2 linked regions of the Oryctolagus cuniculus genome follow. Each later gene encodes a partner of the first gene's protein in a complex. Links are inferred from orthologs where the notes say so. Each region holds a gene or a part of one and is shown on either strand. Other genes may lie near its edges.

The links.
Region 2: PPIL2 (region 1) and ARMC7 share a complex: the UniProt entries of both Homo sapiens proteins name them as parts of the minor spliceosome. The link is inferred for Oryctolagus cuniculus from reciprocal best matches to the Homo sapiens genes PPIL2 and ARMC7.

The regions. Positions count from the first base shown.
Region 1 is NC_091452.1:29,124,927-29,132,184, forward strand, and holds the start of PPIL2 (RING-type E3 ubiquitin-protein ligase PPIL2), read right to left. Parts: upstream 4,688-7,258; 5' UTR 4,502-4,687; coding exon 4,470-4,501; intron 2,765-4,469; coding exon 2,715-2,764; intron 1,003-2,714; coding exon 957-1,002; intron 1-956. UniProt on the Homo sapiens protein: Has a ubiquitin-protein ligase activity acting as an E3 ubiquitin protein ligase or as an ubiquitin-ubiquitin ligase promoting elongation of ubiquitin chains on substrates.
Region 2 is NC_091448.1:5,403,119-5,410,376, reverse strand, and holds the start of ARMC7 (armadillo repeat-containing protein 7), read left to right. Parts: upstream 1-2,646; 5' UTR 2,647-2,842; coding exon 2,843-2,933; intron 2,934-3,419; coding exon 3,420-3,563; intron 3,564-4,927; coding exon of another isoform or gene 4,928-4,956; exon of another isoform or gene 4,957-6,244; intron 6,245-7,258. UniProt on the Homo sapiens protein: As a component of the minor spliceosome, involved in the splicing of U12-type introns in pre-mRNAs.

The sequences.
Region 1 (7,258 bases):
GCGGCACCAGCCTGGCAGGGGTGGAGAGACTTCGGCCAGCGATACCTGGGCCCTGGTTGGTCACCCTCCCTCCCCAGCCAGGTGCCGGCAAGCAGGGGCAAAGGTCTTCCCCAACCAGTGACTGAGCGGGAGCCTCCTGGGGACCCGTGGACAGGTGCAGGGAGGCCCAGCTGGCCAGCTTAAGTGGCTGCACCCCCTGGGGCAGAGCCCTTGGCCCTTTCCTACCACATGTCCAGCTGACCCACCTTGACGGGGGTGTCAGGATCACTCACTCGCTGTACGTCTCCCTCACTCTCTCCCTCTGGGTTGCTCTGCTTTTCAACTATTTACTTACACACACACACACACACACACACACACACACAGGGCGAGGGGACCTGGTGCTGTGGCGCAGTGGGTTAAGCTGCTGCCTGCAACACCACCATCCCATACGGGCACAGGTTCGAGTCCTGGCTGCTCCGCTTCCAATCCAATTCCCTGCCAATGCGCCTGGGAAGGCAGTGCAAGATGGCCCAAGTGCCTGGGCCTCTGCACCTGCGTGGGAGACCTGGATGGAGTTCCTGGCACCTGACTTTGGCCTGGCCCAGCCCTGGCTGCTGTGGCCATTTGGAAGACCTCTCTCTCTCTCTCTCCTCTCTCTCTCTCTCTCTCTCCTCTCTCTTTCGTCTATCACTGTCACTGTCTCCATCTCTCCCTTTTGCTCTGTAACTCTGCCTTTCAAATAAATAAAATAAACCTTAAAAAAAAAAAAAAACAGAATGAGGCTAAAAGGCAGAGCACAGCAAATACACACAGTAAGCAAACACCGCCCATAGGCTGTCAGTACCATGGGTCCCCCCTCCTCATGCAGGGAAGGTGGGGGTGTGCGGGGGGCCCAGAGAGAACCCCCAAGGCCAGACTCACCTCTGCTGTCAGAGTGCACCCGCAAGGGAAAGGCAAACCTTCAAAACCCTTACCTGCAGTGGTCGAAGGGTAAACGGCGGAAATTTGACTGGGGGAGATCTGTTTTGTGGGGAACAAAAGGGGAACACCGGCTGTGTCAAATAGCTCCACTCCGTGTACCTGCCCACAAGCACCGCTGTCTTATGGGAAAAGGAGTGCTCAAGTACTTAGCACCGCCACTGCCGTGGGCACCAAACACAGGGAGGGCGTGGACAGAGGAGGAGCTGGAGAGAGCGTGAAAATTACAACAGGGGCCGGAGCTATGGCGTGGTAGGTTAAGCCGCTGCCTACAGTGCCAGCATCCCATGTGGGCGCCAGTTCAAGTCCTGGCTGCTCCATTTTTTTTTTTTTTTAAAGATTTATTTATTTATTTGAAAGTCAGAATTACACAGGGAGAGGAGAGGCAGAGAGAGAGGTCTTCTGTGCCAATCCAAAGCCAGGAGCCAGGAGCGTCTTCTGGGTCTCCCATGTGGGTGCAGGGGCCCAAGGATCTGGGCCATCTTCTACTGTTTTCCCAGGCCATGGCAGAGAGCTGGACTGGAAGAGGAGCAGCCAGGTCTTGAACCGGCGCCTGTATGGGATGCCAGCACTTCAGGCCAGGGTGTTAACCCATTGCGCCACAGCACCGGTCCTGGCTGCTCTACTTCTGATCCAGCTCTCTGCTGTGGCCTGCGAAAGCACCAGAAGATGACCCAAGTGCATGGGCCCCTGCACCAGTGTCAGAGACCCAGATGAAGCTCCTGGCTTCGGATCAGCCATTGTGGCCATTTGGGGAGTGGGTCAGTGGATGGAAGATCTGTCTGTCTCTCCCTCTGTCTGTAACTCTGACTCTCAAATAAATAATTAAATCTTTTTTTTTTTTTTCTTTTTGACAGGCAGAGTGGACGGTGAGAGAGAGAGACAGAGAGAAAGGTCTTCCTTTTCCATTGGTTCACCCCACAGTGGCCTCTGCAGCCAGTGTGCTGCGGCTGGCGCACGGCGCTGATCCGAAGCCAGGAGCCAGGTGCTTCTCCTGGTCTCCCATGCAGGTGCAGGGCCCAAGCACTTGGGCCACAGCAGAGAGCTGGACTGGAAGAGGAGCAACCGGGACAGAATCCGGAGCCCCGACTGGGACTAGAACCTGGTGTGCTGGCGCTGCAGGTGGAGGATTAGCCTAGTGAGCCGCGGCGCCGGCCAATAACTAGATCTTAAAAAAAAAAAAGAGGGCCAGCACTGTAGTGTAGGGGGTAAAGCTGCCGCCTCCAGTGCCGGCATCCCTTATGGGTGCCAGTTCAAGTCCTGGCTGCTCTTTTGATCCAGCTCTCTGCTATGGCCTAGGAAAGCAGTAGAAGATGGCCCAAACCCTTGGGCCCTTGCACCCACGTGGGAGACCTGGAGGAAGCTCCTGGCTCCTGGCTTCAGATCAGTCCAGCTCCAGCTGTTGCGGCCAATTGGGGAGTGAACCAGCAGATGGAAGACCTCTCTCTCTCTCTCTCTGCCTCTCTCTTTGCCTCTCCTTCTCTCTCTGGTAACTCTGACTTTGAAATAAAAAAAAAAAGAAAAAGAAAAAGAAAAAATGTAGACCAGGGTTCTTTTCACCACAGCCTGGAGCACTTTGGTTATTTTAAGCCATATTTTTAAAAAAATCGCCAGTGGGTGGGGCATCTTTCCTCTTCCGTGAATGGAGTCCTCGGCCCAGCTGTCCTGCACAGACCACGGGCTGCCTGTATAATGGGGCCACCCATCCTCTGTACACCCCTGTCCTCGGGGCAGAGAAGACTCCCATGCCTTACCTGGCTTCTTGCCACCATAGAAGTGAGTGTATTCAGCACAGGTGATGTACCTGAGAGGGGGAGGGGGAGGGGACGGGGAGAGGGAGGGAGAGATATCACTACGCTGCCACTGGCCAGCCAGGGGTGAACACGGCAGACACGGGGCTGCACAAACCCATAAATAAATAAACACAGACGGCCCTGCGCTGCTCAGAAGGAAAGGAGGTGATTCACCCAGGAAGACCTGACACATGAGAGCGGCCGGCACGGGCAGACCTGGGGGAAGAGCCCTCCAGGCAGACACACGGGCGGGGCCCGCAGCCACAGCGGGTACCGATGCCCAAGGCAGGAAGAACAGACAGATGTCGCTGGGGAGCTGCGGGCACCGGCGGGTGGCAGCGGAGGAAGACGGATGGGGAGGGGCCTCGCAGGTCTTCCTCAGTGGGTGGGAGACCACGGAGGGTTCGGAGCCAGGGCCCTGCTAGGCAGGATCTGACATCAGCCGCAAAGCCTCGCCCTGGCTGCTGTGCGTAGGAAGACAGCCAGAGCAGCAGCAGAAAATCCACCAGGAATTGACCACTTCCTCCGGGTCTCCCACGTGGGTGCAGGGGCCCAAGGACTTGGGCCATCTTCTACTGCTTTCCCAGGCCACAACAGAGAGCTGGATGAGAAGAGGAGCAGCCAGGACTCGAACCAGTGCCCATCTGGGATGCCGGCACTGCAGGTGGCAGCTTTACCCACTACGCCACAGCACTGGCCCCCAGCACACATTGCTTTCACACCACGGTAAGGTCGGAAAACCCTGTCTGTGGTGGGCGCTGTGGTGCGGTGAGTGAGGCTGCCACCCGCATACCGTACCAGAGCGCCTGGAATCAGACCCCGCCCCTCTGCTTCTGACCAGCTCCCTGCCAAGGCACCTGGGGGGCGGCAGAGGATGGCTCAAGTCACTTGGGGTCCCTACTACCCACGTGGGAGACCTGCATGGAGTTCCTGGCCCAGCCCTGGCTGTGGGGCACTTGGGGGACTGGACCAGTGCATGGTAGATCTTTCTTTCTCTCCCTGTGTCATTCCGCATTTCACATCAATACAAATATCTTTAAAAAAAAATTTTTTTTAATTCTCAGCCTATCACTGAGACAGGAAGGAGAGAGGCAAACTCCAGGGCTGGGTTCTATTTCCGATGATCAGATTAAAATGCGGTCTGTATCAGACCGCCGAAGCGGAGATGCCGGGCTGAACAGACTGCTTCAAGACCCCCGCCACAGACAGTAACCTGTGAGGCCTGGGAGAAACGGGAGGAGGGGGCCCGGCCGACGAACCCGAGAAAAGGGGAGGCCGCTGAAGTTTGCGGGAAAACCACGCACGCGAGATCGCAGAGGTCAACGCCACGGGCTTGAGAAATGACTGGATGACCCCAAGCTCGGCAACAAGGACTCAAGGCGGGGGACAGGGGCTGTGAAAGCCTGGCCCCAGCGGACTCGAGAGACAGCAGCAGACCGGGGCTCGTCACTCGGAAAAGGCGAAGAAACGCGACGGCGGCCGGGGCTCGCTCGCTTCCAACCCCGGGGGGCCCGAGACGCGGCTGCCGGATCCCCGGGCTACCGCAGGGGCTGGGGGCAGCGGTGTCACTGCCCGGCCTGGGGAGTGGGCAGGGGGCTTCCGGGAGGAGTCCTGGGGACTCGACTCTGCGAGGGAAGAGGAGCGACGCGAAGCCCCGGCCAAGCGCGGGGCCGGGCGCGCAGCGGCGAGCCGCTCCCCCGACGCGGTTCCACGTACATCTTGTCTTTCTGGTGCTGGCGTTTCCCCATGGCGGCGAGCGCGGCGGTGGGGTCTTCGAGCGCGGAAAAGTCACGGCCAGCAACCGCGAGCCCACAGACGCCGCCGAGTAGTCGGGCAGCTACTTCCGGGATCCGCGGGCCCACGCCGGAAGCGGGCGCTTGGCATGCCGGGAACTGTCGGGTTTCCCTGCCGCCGAGTGCGCATGCTCCAACGGGGTCTGGGCGCGGTGTGGTACCTGAGACCCTGGACTGAGGGAGGCCGCGCTAGCTTGAGCCCCCTCTTTCTTGGCGGAGCTGTTCTCTCCTCGCACCGCCCCATTTAGCTGCCTGCTCGCTCGTATCCCATTCCCAGAGTGCATTGTGTCCGACAGCCTCCACGCCCCTCGGCAGCCCAGCGACAGGTGGCCATGGACCGTCGCTTGGTCCCTTCTGTCTCTTCTTGAGCCACTTTGGGTCCAACGCTGGGGCCCCGGGTGACCCTGGCCAGCAGCACTTGCGTCTCGGGACTCGCCAAGCTGAGGTGCCGGCGCTGTGGACTCTCAAACCACTGATCTCGGATTTAACACGCCTGCTGAGAAAGCAGAATTCTTGTCCCGCTGCCTCCTTACTCTCCTGTCTCCTGAACGGACTGCCAGCCACCGGGTCACCCAAATTTTGTAACTGAAGGCCTAGGATTGAGGCAGAACCGGGAGGAGGGGCAGACCAATCTCAACTGCTGAGCTTGCTTTTCAAAGAATGTTCCAGCACTGCCCTGGGAGGGGCCAGACCCTCAGCCTAAGAGGAATCCCATAGTTTGAGTCAGATCTCCATGACCTTACCTGAGCTTCATTCTCATACCGAATCCTCTGCCCATGGGAGGGGTTCGCAGTCATTACGGAAGATGCGAGGCGTGAAAGATGTATGGTACCTACACGTCTGGGCAGGAGGGCCCCCCACTGCCATTTTGCAATATGCTGGACACTCCTGGCTGCACCTGCTCCAAGTTCTTGTCTCCACTCGGTGAAGTAATTGGAGGAACACCCTAAGGGCGTACGGGAAAGCAGGATTTAGGTACTCAGATGGCGAAGAGGCAACCTCTCTTCATGAGAAGGAAGGGTACTGCCCCCGCAAAGCTGGGGTCGCCCCTTTCAGGATATGGGATGATGCCCTAATTAAGCATTTTTTTTTTTTGACAGGCAGAGTGTACAGTGAGAGAGACAGAAAGAAAAGTCTTCCTTTTGCCGCTGGTTCACCCTCCAATGGCCACCACGACCAGCGCGCTGCGGCCGGCGCACCACACTGATCCGATGGCAGGAGCCAGGTACTTATCCTGGTCTCCCATGGGGTGCAGGGCCCAAGCACCTGGGCCATCCTCCACTGCACTCCCTGGCCACAGCAGAGAGCTGGCCTGGAAGAGGAGCAACCGGGACAGAATCCGGCGCCCTGACTGGGACTAGAACCCGGTGTGCCGGCGCCACAAGGCGGAGGATTAGCCTAGTGAGCCGCAGTGCCGGCCCTAATTGAACATTTTTAAAATTTATTTTACTTGAAAGGCAGAGTTACACAGAGAGAAATATCTTCCATTCTCTGGTTCACTCCCCAAATGGCCACAATGGCCAGAGCTGGACCAGACCGAATCTAAGAACCAGGAGCTTCTTCTGGGTCTCCCACATGGGTGCAGGGGCCCAAGCACATGGGTCATCTGCTGCTTTCCCAGACACATCAGCAGGGAGCCGGGTGGGAAGTTGAGCAGTCGGGACTTGAACTGGTGGCCATATGAGATGTCGGCGCTGCCGAGGTGGCTTACCCAGCAATGGCACAACACCGGCCCCCTTGTTGAATATTTAAATGGGGCAGATTTTTGGGAGGGCCTTGAATACCGCTTGCTTCTGTATCCCACCCTGTCTGTTTGTTTTGTGGCATTTCCACCTGTGGCTACAGCATACTGGCGGTCATCACCGCATCCAGTGCGCCATGGCAGGTGAGGCTGAGGGGCCTGATGGGGAGTGGGCGAGCCGGGTCCGCATGGAAGGGGGCGGGGCTTTGCAGTGCTGCTGGTAGTCTCTCGGCTCCTCTTGGCCTCCTAGCTGCTTCCCAGGCTGCCTACCTCACAGGGCTCTCTTTCCGCCACCCACGTGGGAGGCCTGGGTCGTGTGCCCAGCTCCTGGCTCCCGCTCCAGTCCTGGCATCTGGGTAGTGAACCAGCAGATGGGTTCTCTCTCTTTCTCTCTCTCATAAAGAAAAAAATAATTTCAAAAAATGAAAGCAGGGATCTATCTCCACGACTTGGTTTGTTATCTCTAGTCTCAAGCACAGAGGAGAGCAAACACCAGGGCTCGGCAATCAGCTACTAACGCCTAGTAGTCATCCCTGTTTAGGAAGGACGCCCAGCTGTCATACAGGGGGATTCACTGTGTGGGGCCGGCGCCGTGGCTCACTTGGTTAATCCTCCACCTGCGGCGGCCGGCATCCCATATGGGCCCCGGGTTCTGTCCCGGTTGCTCCTCTTCCAGTCCAGCTCTCTGCTGTGGCCTGGGAAGGCAGTGGAGGATGGCCCAAGTGCTTGGGCCCTGCTCCCGCATGGGAGACCAGGAGAAGCACTTGGCTCCTGGCTTCGGATCAGCGCAGCGCCAGCCGTAGTGGCCATTTGGGGAGTGAACCAGTGGAAAGAAGACCTTTCTCTCTGTCTCTCTCACCGTCTATTCTATAACTCTGTCAAATAAAAAAAAAAATCAGTGTGTGAGTTGACATGACAGTAAGAGTCACAGACCTTTGAAATTCCTTAGGGAACTGCTGCGTTGGAACCCA
Region 2 (7,258 bases), on another chromosome or scaffold:
GCTGGGGTCCCGGGAGTGAGGGGCTCCCCAAGAGTCTTAGAGTCTCAGCAGGACCTGACTCGGGGCCCCCCACCCTCAGTGGGGAAGAAGACTCTGGGGTGGAGAAGCCGGACACTGTCCAGGGGAGGGGAAGTCTTGCTGGGCAGCTTGAGGACCACTGTGAAGACAGGGCTGCTTCTCCAACAGACTCCCGCCCCCTCCGCCCCTCCGCCCCTCCGCCCCTGCTGTGTCAGAGGGGTGAACCCCAGGCTGAGCAGCTGGCTGGGCCAGCTGCCTGGCCACCCCTGCTCCCTGCACTGTGCCCTGGAGGGCAGAGCCCTCCCCGCCACAAACACGTTGCTGGCGCCCTTCCCTGAGGTCGCCACCCCCCTGAGCGCCGGCTGCCGTCAGCCCAGGCTTGTCCCAGCAGGGAGCCGGGGGAATGGGAAAACACAGTGTGTTTGAATTGCACACACGACCATTCCCTGCAGCCAGTCATCAACTCCGAGCTAATACAGCTGGAAGGCAGGCCTGGCGTGAGAGCCCCCTCCTCTTTCTCCCAACCTGGCAGGGGCTGCCCGGGCTCAGGCCCTTGTTTGTTGACTCAGGCTCAACCAGGCTCCAGCAAGAAAATGTTATCAGGAGGATTGATTTTATTTTCATGACCCAGCCTCAGCCTGCCTCCATCACGTGTGCTCTAGCGTGAATAAGCATCCTTGGGAATGGTCCGCGAGCCAACTCCAGGACTCTGCCATGAGTGCCCCCTAATGGCCAAAGGAGGCAGTGCAGAGGCAAAGCCAAAGACGGCTGGGATAGAGGTGGGATTTCACTTTTGTGCCAAGATACGCTGTGTGACTTCAGGCAAACGGTCACCATCTCTGGGCCTTGGAAAGGGAAGGAGTTAACCTGGAGAGTTAAGCCTCTTCCAGTCTGGAGAGTCTGGATTTGAGTGTATTGAAGCCACACCTTCGGGCTCCCCGTTCATTCCTGTGCTTGGCCACAGGCATAGCTTGTGCTCTCAACAAGACCGCTTGGACACATCTCCCCAGGGTCTCTGCACCTGGACTGGTGGGAAGGGAGCGAGCAGGGGCGGCAGGCAGGTGCATTTGGTGCTGGTGTGCACCAGGCTTTGATGAGGTGTGCAGCCCTGTGCCACTTCCACAAAACAGGGGAGTGAGCACTCAGCACAGAAAGCGAGACGCTCGCCTGCCCCCAGGAAGGATTGGCAATAACCCCCAGGCAGAACCCCTCCCACACACACTTACGAAGCACCACCGTGCGCCAGGCACTGGGCAGAGAGGGGCAGCAAGTTCTGCACAAAACCAAGGATTGGGAGTTCTCCAAGCAGGCCCTGAGGCCTTAGGAAGGGATAAGACCAGACACTGGGGGAGGCTGGGTTGCCCATCGGGCACCAAAACCTGCGGGTGTTTTCCTGGGAAAGCAGTTCCTGGCCAGAGAAGGGAGGAGCTCACCTCCGTGTGCCCTCAAGCCCCAGGCTCCTGGTCCCCAGGCCTTCGCTGCTCTGTCCAGCAACAGGCGGGAAGTCCCCTGGCTAAGACACACTTTCCCAGGCCATCCAGGATCCCCACAGAGTCAAAGGACAAAGGGCAGCTATGGTACCCAAGCACCAAGGCCAAGGTCAGAATGGCGCTGTGGCACAACTGGTTAAATCCACGGCCTATAGTGTCGGCATCCCATGTGGGTGCCGGTTCGTGTCCCAGCTCCTCCACTTCCAACCCAGCTCCCTGCTAATGTGCCTGGGAAAGCAGAGGAAGATGGCCCAAGTCCCTAGGCCCCTGCACCCACACGGGAGACCCAGAAGAAACTCCTGGCTCCTGGCTTCGGATCGGCACAGCTCCGGCCGTTGCGGCCATCTGGGGAGTGAACCAGCAGATGGAAGACCTCTCTCTCTCTCTGTCTCTACCTCTCTCTCTAACTCTGTCTTTCAAATAAATAAAATAAACCTTTAAAGAAGAAGAAGGTGTGCATAGGGCAGGGCTGCAGCCTGCGTCCACCGCAGCTGTACTTGGCCCAGGGATGCAGCCACATTCCTTGGCCCCAGGAGCTCACAGCTCCAAGCACCATGGGGATGTGGCAAGGCCTCCTTTCCTGGTGCTGTTCTCTCCTGAGAAGCTCCGAGGAGTCAGACCAAAGGGCTTCAGGATCCCGGGCCCAACAACGCAGAAAGCTGCAGCGGTCCACAGGGGCGAGCTGAGGCTCCTTCCAGGGCCCTCCGGTGCTGCCCGGGACAACCCAGCTGTCAGAGGCTTAGGGCAGGACCCCAGTCCTCGGGACTTCGGGTCAGAGGTGGAGGGCCCCAATGGGGTCAGAGCGGAGTCGGCCGGACTTGAAATCCTGAAGGGTCGCAGGGAGCCGACGCTGAGGCTCCAGGGGGACGTCTAGGGGAGAAGGCTGGGCTGCGACCGCCAGCGGGTGTGGGGAGTGTGCGTCTGCCTCGACAGCCCCCTATGTGGGCACCCCCAGATTCTGCGGCACTCCTGGGTCGCCCCGGCTCCTCGCCGCATACCCGACCGCGCACCTGTCTGCCGCGCGCGTCCCCGCGGGCCCGGAGCTCATTGCGCACGCGAGCCGAAGAGCTCCGTGACGGCCCCGCCCCTTCTCGCCTCGCCCCGCCCCGTCTCTCCCCGCCCCGCCCCTTCCGCCCTCCGGGGGCGGGACTAGCGCGGCTTCCGGCCGGGACTCTGACAGGATCCTGAGGGTCCCGCCTCCCACTTGCCGTTTCGAGCTGCGGATTCTCGCAGGACCTGAGCCCCCCGGCCGCTGCGGTGAGGGTCTCACGCGGCTGTCCAGGCTGCCTTCTGCCCTTGTCCCACCGGGCCCAGGAGCGCTCGGCCGCCCCGCCATGGCCCAGAAGCCCAAGGTGGACCCCCACGTCGGGCGGCTGGGATACCTGCAGGCGCTCGTCACGGAATTCCAGGAGACCGCGAGCAAAGGTGAGAGCCGCGGGTGGGCGCCGCCGCGAGCCGAGGGGAGAGCCGAGGGGAGGGCGCGGGTGGGCGCCGCGAGCCGAGGGGAGAGCCGCGGGTGGGCGCCGAGGGGAGAGCCGCGGGTGGGCGCCGCCGCGAGCCGAGGGGAGAGCCGAGGGGAGGCCGCGGGTGGGCGCCGCCGCGAGCCGAGGGGAGAGCTGAGGGGAGGGCCGCGAGCCGAGGGGAGGGCCGCGGGTGGGCGCCGAGGGGAGAGCCGAGGGGAGGCCGCGGGTGGGCGCCGAGAGCCGAGGGGAGGGCCGCGGGTGGGCGCCGAGAGCCGAGGGGAGGCCGCGGGTGGGCCGGCGCGAGCCGAGGGGAGGGTCGCGGGTGGGCGCCGGCGCGGGGGCCGAGGGGAGGGCCGCGGGTGGGCGCCGCGAGCCGAGGGGAGGCCGCGGGTGGGCCGGCGCGGGGCCGCCGCCCGGGACCGGCTCCAGGGTCGCTTTCCCGTTGCAGACGCCAAGGAGCAGGTCCTCGCCAACCTGGCCAACTTCGCCTATGACCCCAGCAACTTCCAGTACCTGCGGCAGCTTCAGGTCCCGGATTTGTTCCTGGACTCGCTGTCGGAGGAGAACGAGACCCTGGTGGAGTTCGCTATGGGTAAGGGGGGCCGGACCCGACACCTGCGGGGCTGCCGCGCGATGGGAGGGTTGCAAGGGAGTCGTCGGCAAAGCGGCCTTTAGGGGCCCCCCTTGTCGCCCCACAGGCCATCAGGTCACAGCTAATGTGCGGGAGTGCGGGGGTCCCACCCAGGCCCCACCCTCTGCCTAGAGATGGGATCGCAGACAGGGAATGGGAGGGAGCAGCTTGGAGGTGGATCTTTAATGCGACGATAATGTAGACTTTAAAGTCTTTGTCGTTTACTGAAAGGCAGAGAGAGAGAGATTGAGAGATTGCACCCACTGGTTCGCTCTGCAAATGGCCACAACTTCTCCCAGGTCTAGGCCAGGCCAGGCCAGGGCCAGGATCCGGGACCTTCATCCCTCAGGTCCCCACAGGGGCAACAAGGGCCCAGCACTGCCTTCCCGGCTGGATCAGAAGCAGAGCAGCTGGGACTTGAGGCAGGACTCCCGCCAGTTGGCCCACTGCGCCCTCATCCCTGTCCTCGTGCAGAAATGTTTGAAGTCCATACATAGGTTTTTTTGTGAGACTTTTTCATGAACTTGTAATTAATTAATTAATTTGAGAGGCAGAGAGACAGACAGAGCTTCCATCTGCTGTTTTACTCCTCAAATGACAGAAATAGTCAGGGCTGGTCCAGGCCAAAGCTGGGGGCCAGGAATTCTATCCAGGTCCCCCCCCATGAGTGTCACGGATCCGACTACTTGAACCCCTCATACAGTGCCTGCCCAGTGAATACAAGGATATTTCAGCAAGTTAATGGGAAGTGGAGTTAAAATATAAGGGTGTTTTTGGTGCAATTAAAAAAATTAAATTTTTTTCATAATGCACATATTCTATGAATTTTTAAAAATATTTCCCCCCACTCTACTGTACTCTTCTCTTCCTTCCTTCTTTCCTTTTTTTCTTTTCTTTTTTTTTAAGATTTATTTTATTTATTTGAAAGAGTTAGAGAGGTCTTCCATCCGCTGGCTCACTCCCCAAATGACCGCAGCAGCCAGAGCTGAGCTGATCCAAAGCCAGGAGTTTCTTCCAGGTCTCCCACATGGGTGCAGGGGCCCAAGGACCTGGGCCATCTTCTATTGCTTTCCCAGGCCACAGCAAGGAGTTGGATCAGAAGTGAAGCAGCCAGGACTTGAACTGGCGCCCATATGGGGTGCTGGAGCTGCAGGCCAGGGCTTTAACCTGCTGCACCACAGCGCCAGCCCCTTTTTTAAAAAAAAAAAAAATTTACTTATTTGGGGGACCAGTGCTGTGGCACAGTGGGTTAAAGCCCTGGCCTGAAGCGCCAGCATCCCATATGGGTGTTGATTCTAGTCCTGGCTGTTCCACTTCCAATCCAGCTCTCTGCTATGGCCTGGGAAAGCAGTAGAAAACGGCCCCCCTGCACCCACGTGGGAAACCCAGAAGAAGCTCCTGGCTTCAGATCGGTGCAGCTCCAGCCATTGCGGCCATCTGGGGAGTGAACCAGCAGACGGAAGACCTCTCTCTCTGTCTCTACCTCTCTGTGTAACTCTGTCTTTCAAATAAATAAAATAAATCTTAAAAAATAAGTTTATTTATTTGAGGCCAGCACTGTGGTGTAGTATGCTAAGTCTCTGCCTGCAGCGTCAGCATCTCTTACGGGCACCGGTTTGAGTCCTGGCTGCTCCTCTTCTGACCCAGCTCCCTGCTAATGCTCCTGGAAAGAAAGCAGCAGAGGAGCGCCCAAGTGCTTGGGCCCCTGCACCCATGTGGGAGACCCAGAAGAAGTTCCTGGCTCCTGGCTCCTGATTGGCCCAATTCCAGCTATTGCGGCCATTTGGGGAGTGAACCAGCAGATGGAAGATATCGCTCTCTCTCTCTCTCTCTCTCTGTAACTCTGCCCTTCAAATAAATAAATAAATAATCTTAAAAAATATTTATTTATTTATTTGAATGGCAGAGTTATATAGAGAGGGAACAAAAGAGACAGAAAACAAGCTAGATATTCCATTGGCTGATTCACTCCTCGGATGCTGCGATAGCTGGAGCTGGGCTGATCTGAAGGCCAGGAATTTCTTCTGGGTCTCTCACATGGATGCAGGGGCCCAAGCACTTGGGCCGTCCCCTGCTGTTTTTCCAGGAGCATTAGCAGGGAGCTGGGTCAGAAGTGGAGCCGCTGGGATATGAACCTACGCCATTGTGCTGGGCCTTACAAAAATTCATATATTTATATATTTTTCATAATATACATATTCCATACATTTTTTGAGGATCCCCCTCACTTTTTAAAAGATATTTATTTATTTGAAAGGCAGAGTTGGCCGGCGCCGCGGCTCACTAGGCTAATCCTCCGCCTAGCGGCGCCGGCACACCGGGTTCTAGTCCCGGTTGGGGCGCCGGATTCTGTCCCGGTTGCCCCTCTTCCAGGCCAGCCCTCTGCTGTGGCCAGGGAGTGCAGTGGAGGATGGCCCAGGTGCTTGGGCCCTGCACCCCATGGGAGACCAGGAAAAGCACCTGGCTCCTGGCTCCTGCCATCGGATCAGCGCGGTGCGCCGGCCGCTGCGCGCCAGCCGCGGCGGCCATTGGAGGGTGAATCAACGGCAAAAGGAAGACCTTTCTCTCTGTCTCTCTCTCTCTCTCACTGTCCACTCTGCCTGTCAAAAAATAAAAAAAATAAAATAAAATAAAATAAAAAAAATGAAAGGCAGAGTTACAGAGAGAGAGGGAGAGATACAGAGATCTTCCATCCATTGGTTCACTCCCCAAATGGCCACAACAGCCGGGGCTGGGCCAGGCCGAAGCCGGGAACCAGGAGCTTCATCAGAGTCTCCCACATGGGGACAGGGGCCCAGGAACTTGGGTCATCTTCAGCTGTTTCCCTAGGCACATTAGCAGGGAGCGTGATCAGAAATGGAGCAGTAGGGACTTGAACGCACACCCATGTGGGATGCCGACATGGCAGGGTGCTGCTACACCACAACACCGGCTCCGCCCCCTCACTCTTTAAGCCAGGTTCTGTTCTGAATGTTGGGGAGATGTTGAGCAACGGGTTCTGCCTACAGGAGCTTACATTCTAGAAGGGGAGACGTGGGGAGCACATTAAAATGATGCTGCTCGGGGGGAAGTCAACAGGAGGGGGACAACTTCCGTGTTGGCCATGATGGGCAGGCACACTCGGCAGAGGTGCAGAAGCCGTGAAGGAGCAGAGGGAAAGCAGGCGCGGCAGGACGGCGGGGAGAGACCTGGAAAATGGCGCCAAACGAGGCTGCTGGCAGCGGAGCTGGCCAGGGCTTACATCTGACCGTGGGGATGAGTTTGGCATTTATTATGAGAGCAAACACAAATTATTTTTTCAGCATGCAGTTTTTAAGATTTATTTATTTGAAAGTCAGAGTTACACAGGGAGAGAGGAGAGGCAGAGAGAGAGAGGTCTTCCATCCACTGGTTCACTCCCCAGATGGCCACAATGGCTGGAGCTGTGCCGATCTGAAGCCAGGAGCCAGGAGCTGCTTCTGGGTCTCCCACGTGGGTGTAGAGGCCCAAGGCCTTGGGCCATCTTCTACTGCTTTCCCAGACCATAGTGGAGAGCTGGATCAGAAGTGGAGCAGCCAGGACTTGAACCGGTACCCATTTGGTATGCTGGCACTTCAGGCAGTGGCGTTACCAGCTATGCCACAATACCAGCCCTAAATATTTATTTTATGTATTTG